2 linked regions of the Mus musculus genome follow. The protein of the gene in region 2 purifies or fractionates together with the protein of the main gene of each other region. This does not show direct contact. Links are inferred from orthologs where the notes say so. Each region holds a gene or a part of one and is shown on either strand. Other genes may lie near its edges. The genes, in order: Dcc and Casp9.

Region 1 (4,565 bases), on a different chromosome or scaffold from region 2:
AGGAATATATAAAAATCATGTGATGAAGAACAAGGGACAAGGGAGGCTGAGCATATTTCAGAAGGGGTTTGTTTTCATCATTTTCTGGCCTAAATCCATTTGTTTGTTTGCTTCATTCTTTTAACAAAACTGCAGTGCTCTTTTCCGAGTCCTGCTAGCATCTGTGAGTGGGGCAGAGACGAAAGGCACAGGGCACCCATTGCCTGAGGAGCCTGCCTGATGATGTCTTACAGAGAGGACAAAATGTGCAAAATACCTGGGCTTGGAACAGTTTTCTCAACTTTTACTGTGTACTGCTTTCCTGAAACCTGCTCTCTCTCTCTCTCTCTCTCTCTCTCTCTCTCTCTCTCTCTCTCTCTCTCTCTCTCTCTGTGTGTGTGTGTGTGTATGTGTGTGTGTGTGTGTGTGTGTGTGTGTGTGTCTGACGCGTGTCTGGTGTGTGTATGTCTCTGTGTGTCTCTGTGTATGGGGTGTGTGTGCATGCATGTGTGTGTGCATGCATATGTGTGTGTGTCTGTGTGTCTGATGTATGTATGCATGTGTGTGTCTCTGTGTGTGTGTGTCTGTGTGTATGGTATATGTGTGTCTGTGTGTATTGGGTGTGTTTGTGCCTGCATGTGTGTGTGTCTCTGTGTGTGTCAGTGTGTGTATGTGTTTGTGTGTATGGGGTGTGTATGTGCTTGCATTTGTGTGTGTGTGTGTGTGTGTGTGTGTGTGTGTGTCTGTATGAGTGTCTGTGTATATCTGTGTGTGTTTACACACGCCTTTCCTTCACAGTCTGTCTGTCTGTCTGTCTGTCTGTCTGTCTGTCCAGGGACTGAAGAAGTCTTTCCTTCTCTGTTAACACACTCTCATCATACGGATCGGCACAGATATAATAACTGTAAACTGTCCACTGGCACTTTTATCCCAACTGATGAAAACCTCAACCCTTGGGGATGGGGATTGAGTCATGTTAAATCTCCAGTTGGTTCGTGTTTCCTGGGAGACCTTGAGGATCCCTGAATAAGGTGAGTGCTTTAAATACCTGTACTTCTGATTCACTTCTGGAGGAGAGTGAGGAAATAAAATGCGCAAGGGAAAAGGTTCTAGCTCCACTCCCAAGGAAGCAGCAGTCTCGCGTTTGTTTTCCGTGTGGGGTGTTTCTGGGCCTCTGTTTCCCACTTCTAGAAGTGGGTTGCATTAGCTGATTTTTTTTTCCTAAACGAAATGTCTTTTTTTTTTTTAACCATGCACAAGAAAGAAAGTAAAAGGCTGGCCACTTGCCCTATGTGAAACACCTGCCTAGATTTTACAGTCATACAAATAATTTCCTGAATGCTGAAGATCAAAAATGATTGCTGCAAAGCCTCCAGATGCTCATGATGTTCTCTGGCTCCATTGACAAAAGTGACTTCCCACGCTTTGCCCACAGAGGGCATCCCTGCGCATTGATATGTAGACCAGGCAAACGCAGCTGCTGGAAGCCTCCTCCGTCCGCGTTTTTCCCCCCCTAAGCTTCGCTAGGCCCCCGCCCCCCATTGCGTGGAGTCTTTCCCTGATCCAGTTCGTTTCCCTCCGGTCTCCACATTTTCCCTTCCAACCCTCCACTTCTCCGGATCAATGGATAGTAAGGTTCCAACTATCAGCTCACACACCGCTGGCGGACACCCCAGTAACAAGTGAGAGCGCTCTGCCCGGCACTCCACCGCCTCTGCCCCCTACCCGGTTCCCCAGCTCTGAGAAGCCAAACCGACAGCATCACGGGCGCGGATTTTTCTCTCCAACTTTATCCAACCGACTACAAGGAAGCAGCCTCAACCATCTAACGCATGGCCAGCCACAGGATTGCTTTGCGTCTCCTCTTTAGCCCTTCTGGATATTCTGTTCATTGATGCCTCACAAGCCCCACGGAGAGCTGTCTCCCCTTTGCTTGCTCCCTCTGCTTCCTTGAGTTAGTTCTCCAAGGTGTTACCGGGGTTCGGGAGCTCTTGGACCGAATGGAACTTTTCGTTGCGTCTTCCTGCTGCTGATTGTGTCCCTGGACAAGAAAAAAAGGCTTCGCAGGCAGAAGAGGCGCAGGGGAGGTGGAGAAAGAGGTGGAGGAAGAGGACGAGGAGGAAGAGGAGGAGGAAGCCTAGGGGGCTCGGCGCGGGTGTGTGCATGTGTGCATGCGTGTGTGAGTGCATGTGTGTGAGTGCCACCGCTGCCCAGGACCCCCGGCCCCGAAGGTGTTGGCTGAAATATGGAGAATAGTCTTGGATGTGTTTGGGTACCCAAGCTGGCTTTTGTACTCTTCGGAGCTTCCTTGCTCAGCGCACATCTTCAAGTCACGGGTAAGAGGTCTTTTCCTTTCTTCTCTTCGCTCCCCCACCCCTTACCCCTTCCCCTTCCCCTTCCCGTTTCATTTGGAGAGTAGAATTAGAGTGGAAGAGAGATACTGTATTCGGTTTTCTCTCTGCCTACCGTTTTCTCGCGAATGATAAAAGACACAAGAAGACTTTTTCCTCCTGGGGGCGGAGGATGTTGGTGGGGTCGAGGGCATCTCTTCGCGCTTTTTCAATCTTGTGCTTCTCGCTTGCGTCTTTGCTTTTACAAATACTTGTTTTGTCTTGGGGGGCAAGGTGGTGAAAGTGATGGGGATGCTGATGGGGTTGTATTCTCAGAGCCTCACAAGCCTGGAAAGGGGCTGGTGGATGGGATAACAGGAGTAAGCGGGGATGACATCAAAGGTGCTTAGAGCAAGTCTGTGCTGGCTACATCTGCTGGGGATGTTTGTGTGAATACATGCGACCCTGGCTTTGCATTTTTTTTTTTTTTTGTACGTGCTGATTGAGAATCGAGAAAGAGACATATCCGTTTTGAGTACTTTGGGTGAGTGCATAGCGGTGCTTGAAGAAGAGGGGAAGAGGTGGCAGATGAAGGGATATGTATTTGAGATTTTAACGGTGGGTGAATGCTGTTTGCTAGTTAAGTCTCCAAATACCTCCAAGACACCTCCAAACTCCAAATGATGGATATTCTGGGAGACAGGCCTCCGGACCTCACTTGGCAAGCGTATTTTCTAATTAAAAATGGCAAAACTGTTGCGGGGCTAGACGAGGAGAAAGAAAGATCCTAAGGCTGCTCCCTGGGTGCTGCAGTCTCCGAATGCGGAGCTGAGGCTTCTTTCTGTGGCCGAAAGAATAAAAACGAACAAAGTGATAAGATTTTCTCGTTTTGCGGGACACCACCACAAGTAGGTGGGCACTGAGTAGAGGTTGCTGGTCTGCTGGGGAAAGACAGGACAGCTGCTGCGTGAGCATGCAAGTCCCTTCGGAATCGACCTTTCCTCCCATCCAAAGAGCGCCTCGGCTGGGGCCAGGAGTTAGAGAGGAGCGCCCCAACCTGTGCCTCCGAAATTAACAGGGAATAAAATTAAATCACAGCAGTCAAGTCCCCTGTCTCCCCGGAGTCCTAAACTCCGGCTGTCTGGTCCCAGTTGCAGAATCAAGGGTTGCGAACACAAGCAGAGAAGGCGTTGCTTCACGGTGTGGCAAGGGATTCAGGCCATGAAGCGAGCACCGAGCCAGCATTCAGGATTAACGCGAGCCCAGGCTCTGGGCTTTAATCCTTCTGTAGGCAGCCAGAGCGAGTCAGTCTCTCTCTCTCTCTCTCTCTCTCTCTCTCTCTCTCTCTCTCTCTCCCTCCCTCTCTCTCTCTCTCTCTCTCTCTCTCTCTCTCTGTGTGTGTGTGTGTGTGTGTGTGTGTGTGTACGCTTGAGTGTATGTGGTGTGTGTGTGTGTGTGTGTGTGTGTGTGTGTGCTTGCGTGCTGTGCGATGCCTATGATGCGCGCGCTTACCCTCACCCTCAGTTCAGTTGCCGGCCCTCCCTCCTCCCTCTGGGCGGTCCCCTCCTCCCTGGCTCATCTCTCCCAGAGCTTTGTCCTCTGTAATTACTCCCTTTGAAGGTGGGAGGTAGGTGTGGAGAGGGTAGGGGGTAGTTTATTCTTGTGGTAATAGAAAGTGTTAAAAATGCCCTCTTTAAACTGCAAATGCCGAGGGGCAGAGCAAGCTACATCTTTCTTGTACCCAGAAGGAGACTTGTGGTCTCCCTGGCACTTTGGGAGCACCTGGACAGAAAGGGAAGTTCAGAGATGCTCCTTACTAAGCAGAAAGCCCATCAGAGGAGAGAGAGAGAGAGAGAGAGAGAGAGAGAGAGAGAGAGAGAGAGAGAGAGAGAGAGAACCATAGTTGACAATATTGAATTAAGCCAAGTGTGCAAAATAGACAATGTTATCACTTATGCAATATTTTAAAGCCATTGCCAAATGATCATTTCCCTGCAAAAACTCGTGGTAGATGAATGGAGATAGATTCAATATGTTTTATTAATCCTTATAATAACATCACCTTCCTATTCATTTAGGGATTTGTTTGTTTGTTTATATTTAGTCATTTATTTGTCACGTTTTTATTTCAATTATTACCTTCTCAAACTTTTCTCTTCGTAGACAAATCTAACAACAACAACAACAACAAAACCCCTACACAAAAATATACATGTGTAAGGAAAGTGCCGGTGAATGACCTGTGCTGATCATTGT
Region 2 (4,379 bases):
TCAAGGTCTGTGACCAGCTGCCTGGCCTGATCCCGCCGAGACCCAGATCCTGCCTGCTGTTTGGATAGAAAACCAGACACTCATTATCCAGGGACTTCCATGTGGCCCTTAACCTACTTCCCATTTCTCACCTAGCCTCTGCCTCCTGAGTCCTGGCTTCCAGGTGTGTGTCACCACCCCTGGAACAAGCAACAGTCTGTCACTGCCAACACTAGGTTGGAAACTGCTCTGACCACACTTAGCTGAAGGAAATCAGAGGCTGCTGGCGCCTCCCTGGGCAGTTCAGCTTCTGATCCCCCTTAATATGCCTGTGGTAGGTGGGCAGAACCTAATCCAGCAGTGCCCTGAGTTCATGTCCCTCTGCAAAGCAGAAAGATACCTACTGTGGGTGTCCAGTGCTGTGCTAAGTGCTAATTAGCCCTACTAAAAGTAGCAAAAACAGTGGTCAGTAGTTTACACAAGGTACTTAAATTTTTCTCAGTTTGTTTCTAGCATTAAAATAAGAGAACTGGATATAGAAATCAAGATCTCCAGCATTTTTGTTTTTGAGAAAAGTTAAGTTTCTCTTTTGTATGAGGGGAAAGCTTTCATATTTGGGGGGGGGGGGGCGCAGGAATTCTCAAGTAGCCAAGACTGGCCTTCAACTTCCTACATAGCAGAGGATGACCTTTGAACTTCTGACTCTCCTGCCTCCAGAGTCACCAGGCTTGGTTTATGTTGGGGATTGGACTCAGAGATTCATGCATGCTAGACAAGCACTGTACCAAACAAGCTATACATCAGGCTTCGTGTTCTGATTTTGCTTTTAAGTATTTAAGTATGCATGTATGTATGTATGTATGTGTGTATATGTATGTACGTGTGTATGTATCTTTCTATCTGAGTCTGTATGTGGCAACTGTGTGTGCATGGTACCAGTGGAGGCCAGAAAAGGGTGTCAGAACACCTGGAACTGGAGTCAATAGTTGTGAGTTACCACATGGGTTCTGAAAACTGAAATCAATGCTCTTATCCACAGAGGCAGCTCTCAGTCCTTAGTTTTGGCTTCTGAAGACTCCATCTCAGGTAGCCAGGCTGGCCTCAAACTCTGCATGTAGCCAAGGATGCCCTGGGAACACCTGATCCTCCTGCCTCTACCTCCTGAGTGCTTGGATTCCAGATGTATGCCGGCACCCCTGGATCAAACTGCTCCTTTCAAACAATCTGCCACTGCCAACACAAGGGCAGAACTGTTTTGACCACACTTGGCTGGAGAAGGGAGCAAGACAGTGGCTGCTGGTGCCACTCTGGGCAGTTCAGCTCCTGATCCCCCTTAATATGCCTTCTGGAAGGCTAGGACTTTCCCTTCAAACCACTTTTCTTGATCAGTATGGGCCCATCCAAATGTGTTCCTGAGCCTACTTTTGTTATTATTTGGCAGCTAACCACATGACTCTACACCACTTTCTTCTATCTCCTTCACTGGACCAAGCCACGTTCCAATACAGATGCTGGAGACAGCCTTGTAGACAGTCCCCCAGGGCCTGGCACTCATATCCTCTCAGAAAGAAATATTCCCTTTTCAGACCTGTGGTGAGGCATCAACTGGAACAAAGATGCTAAAGTGGTTTTTTTTTTCTCTTTTTAGAGTCCTTTAAGAGTTTTTACTCTGTATCTTCCAATAGAAGATGCATTTATGCATACAGCTATCCTGTTTTCTCTGTAATTTTCATACTCATCTTTAGACTTTGAACAAGTTGACCTTTTCCCTTGTGTAATACAGAATTTTATCAAGCTAAAATTGAACTCTAGTACAATGAAAATAATACTGCCACCATTATATTTTGATCCAGAATAATTCCACTCACACAGTAATCCATATAGCGTAGAAATTCAATACACCCCTTTACACAAGCCATCAACATTGTGACTCATGCTCTAGGTTTAAGTGGGCGAAAGTGGATTAAAAAAAATCAAATGTTTGATTTTATTCTTCTGCATTACCTGCATCAAATTCCTTCTTTTCTGAACTCCTTTATAAAACATGCACTTGATAAAAGCCCAGCCAAAAAAGACAGATCCTGATTCTATGTCCTTGTCCTAGGACAGGATGACCACCGTTCCATTTCACAGCCCTAGAAACTGAGATTCAAAAACGGGAAGTGACTGGTACAATGTGCCAGTATAAGGCTAAAGTGGGTGTCTAGGGCCCTTATACTAGAGAAGAGAAAAATCATAAAAGTTCAAACGGTGCAGATTACAGACCGCTTTTAACAAACACTCCACAAAAGAGGAGCATGGGTTCTTCTATTTTATTCTTGTGGCGAACTAAGAGGGCAGTACTGGGGAAGGTTTTAAAAATGGAGTTCCCACACCATGGTTTCCCAGGGCGTGGATTGCACAGGGTGCAAAGCGGAAAAAAAGGGCAGGAGCTCCGTAGTGGCTTCAGAGAACCTCTCAGCGACCTCCCAGTCCCTATCTGCGCCGCGGGAAAAAGAGGGCGGACACAAGGAGGCGGGGCGCACCTGAATATCCTCGATCATGTCGCGCGTGAAGAGCTCTCGACTCAGCAGAGCGTCCCAGAGCTCCGCGACTTGCAGCTCGCTCACTAGGCGCACCCTGCATCGCCGCAGGAGCTGCCGGTCCGCCTCGTCCATGGCGAGCCGATTGCGGGACCCCGGGTTCTGTCCGCTTCCGGCCCTCGGGTTCCGCCCCGGCGCCCACGCCCCGCCCCCACATAGCGCCTCCAGGGATCCCGCTCCGGCCAGCGGTCACCCGGTCCACTGGGCTCCGCTCCGCCCCGCCCCGCCCCGCCCCGCGGCCTGTGACTCGCGCTCACTGGGCTCCACCTCCGCAATCAAAACAGCTCCCACGGCCGCTCACCCCACCACCAGCCCCCAACACCTCCCTCAACGCCGCGCTCTCAGGCCCCGCCCCTTCGCCACGCCCTACGACCGCGCTGCTTCGCCACGCCCACTGGCGCTGCATTCAAGCTCCGCCCCATCACTTCGCCGTACGGACTAAGACCTGCCTCACATGATAACGCTTCTCCCCTAGGACTCGCCCCTCCTCGCCTCGTAGACCAGCAATCCCGCCCTACCGAGTTCCTTCGCCCCGCCCCGAAGCCCTCCTTTGCATCCCAGACTCTCCCCTAGGGTTCCAGGCCTTGTGGTTGCCTTGCTATCTTGCTCCCATTTGCTGGTTCTGCTTAGCGGTAGTTGTAACTTTTCCCCTCGCATGGCGATTGCTCTACCAAAATTCACAATGACCCTACTTCTACAGATACTCAAAGGATCACGAGAGAAAAGGGAAGAAAACCACGCCTAGACATTTGTCCTAGATCTTTCAAGTCCCTTGCTGGCTGTGGCTTTCTAACGCTGCGGCTAGTAAACCTCTTGCTGCCTGCTGTTTCAGGGCTATCGTGCCCTCAATCTAACCAAGCTCATTGGTTAGATCTCGCTCTCTTTCCCTCCTCAGCACCTCCCCCAGAGAAACTGCCAGGAATCTAATCCTATGTTCTCTCAGTTTTGTACCACTTATTTCCACGACTTAAAAAGTAATTGAAATAACTGGAGAGATGGCTCAGCGGTTAAGAACACCAACTGCTATTCTGAAGGTCATGAGTTCAAATCCCAGCAACCACATGGTGGTTCAACAACCATCTGTATTGAGAAATGACACCCTCTTCTGATGTCTGAAGACAGCTACAGTGTACTTACATGTAATAAATAAATAAATCTTTAAAAAAAGTAATTGAACAAGGTCTGAAGAGATGGATGGTTCAGGGTAAAGAGGACCAGCTGTTCTTCCAGAGGTCCTGAGTTCAAATCCCAGCCACCACATAGTGGTTTACAACCATCTGTAATGGGATCTGATTCCCTCTGTGCATGAAGACAGAGTGCTCATATATGCATTAACTAATTAAACACATTTTTAAAAAAGTAATTGGGCATTGTGCTAGCCCCTTACGCTATTCTCTCTGCTAGCCTTATGCCACATTCCTGACAGGGATATAGTTATTCCTTGATGACAGCTGTAGACATGTGTCAGGGATCTCACAGCGTGACCAGAACCAGAATAGACTCATAGCCAAGAATCCACCTTGGAATATGTCAAACGATAATATTACACTTGTTTCCTGATTTGGGCATCAGTCAACATTTCCTTCCATAAAATAGGATGTACACTCGGGAGGAGCAGCTGAGGTGAATTTACAAACAGGAAATCTGGGGAGAGCAGTAATGAGAAACTCAAAGGGGGTTAGTTGCCCCAAAGTAAAGGAGATTCACCACGTTGGCTAAAACTGGCTTGTTTGGGGATTTGGCAGTTATCCCTGCCACCTGATTTCTCAGACTGTTAAATAACCTAGTTTCAGCTTGGTAAAAATAAACATGAGTGAG

The links.
Region 1: the proteins of Casp9 (region 2) and Dcc purify together in Homo sapiens (co-immunoprecipitation; 3 studies listed by BioGRID and IntAct, with this or other methods). This does not show direct contact. The link is inferred for Mus musculus from reciprocal best matches to the Homo sapiens genes CASP9 and DCC.

What each region holds. Positions count from the first base shown.
Region 1 is NC_000084.6:72,348,106-72,352,670, reverse strand, and holds the start of Dcc (netrin receptor DCC precursor), read left to right. Parts: upstream 1-1,601; 5' UTR 1,602-2,224; coding exon 2,225-2,315; intron 2,316-4,565. UniProt on the Homo sapiens protein: Receptor for netrin required for axon guidance. Mediates axon attraction of neuronal growth cones in the developing nervous system upon ligand binding. Its association with UNC5 proteins may trigger signaling for axon repulsion.
Region 2 is NC_000070.6:141,792,112-141,796,490, reverse strand, and holds the start of Casp9 (caspase-9 isoform 1 precursor), read right to left. Parts: upstream 2,880-4,379; 5' UTR 2,637-2,879; coding exon 2,505-2,636; intron 57-2,504; coding exon 1-56. UniProt on the Homo sapiens protein: Involved in the activation cascade of caspases responsible for apoptosis execution. Binding of caspase-9 to Apaf-1 leads to activation of the protease which then cleaves and activates effector caspases caspase-3 (CASP3) or caspase-7 (CASP7).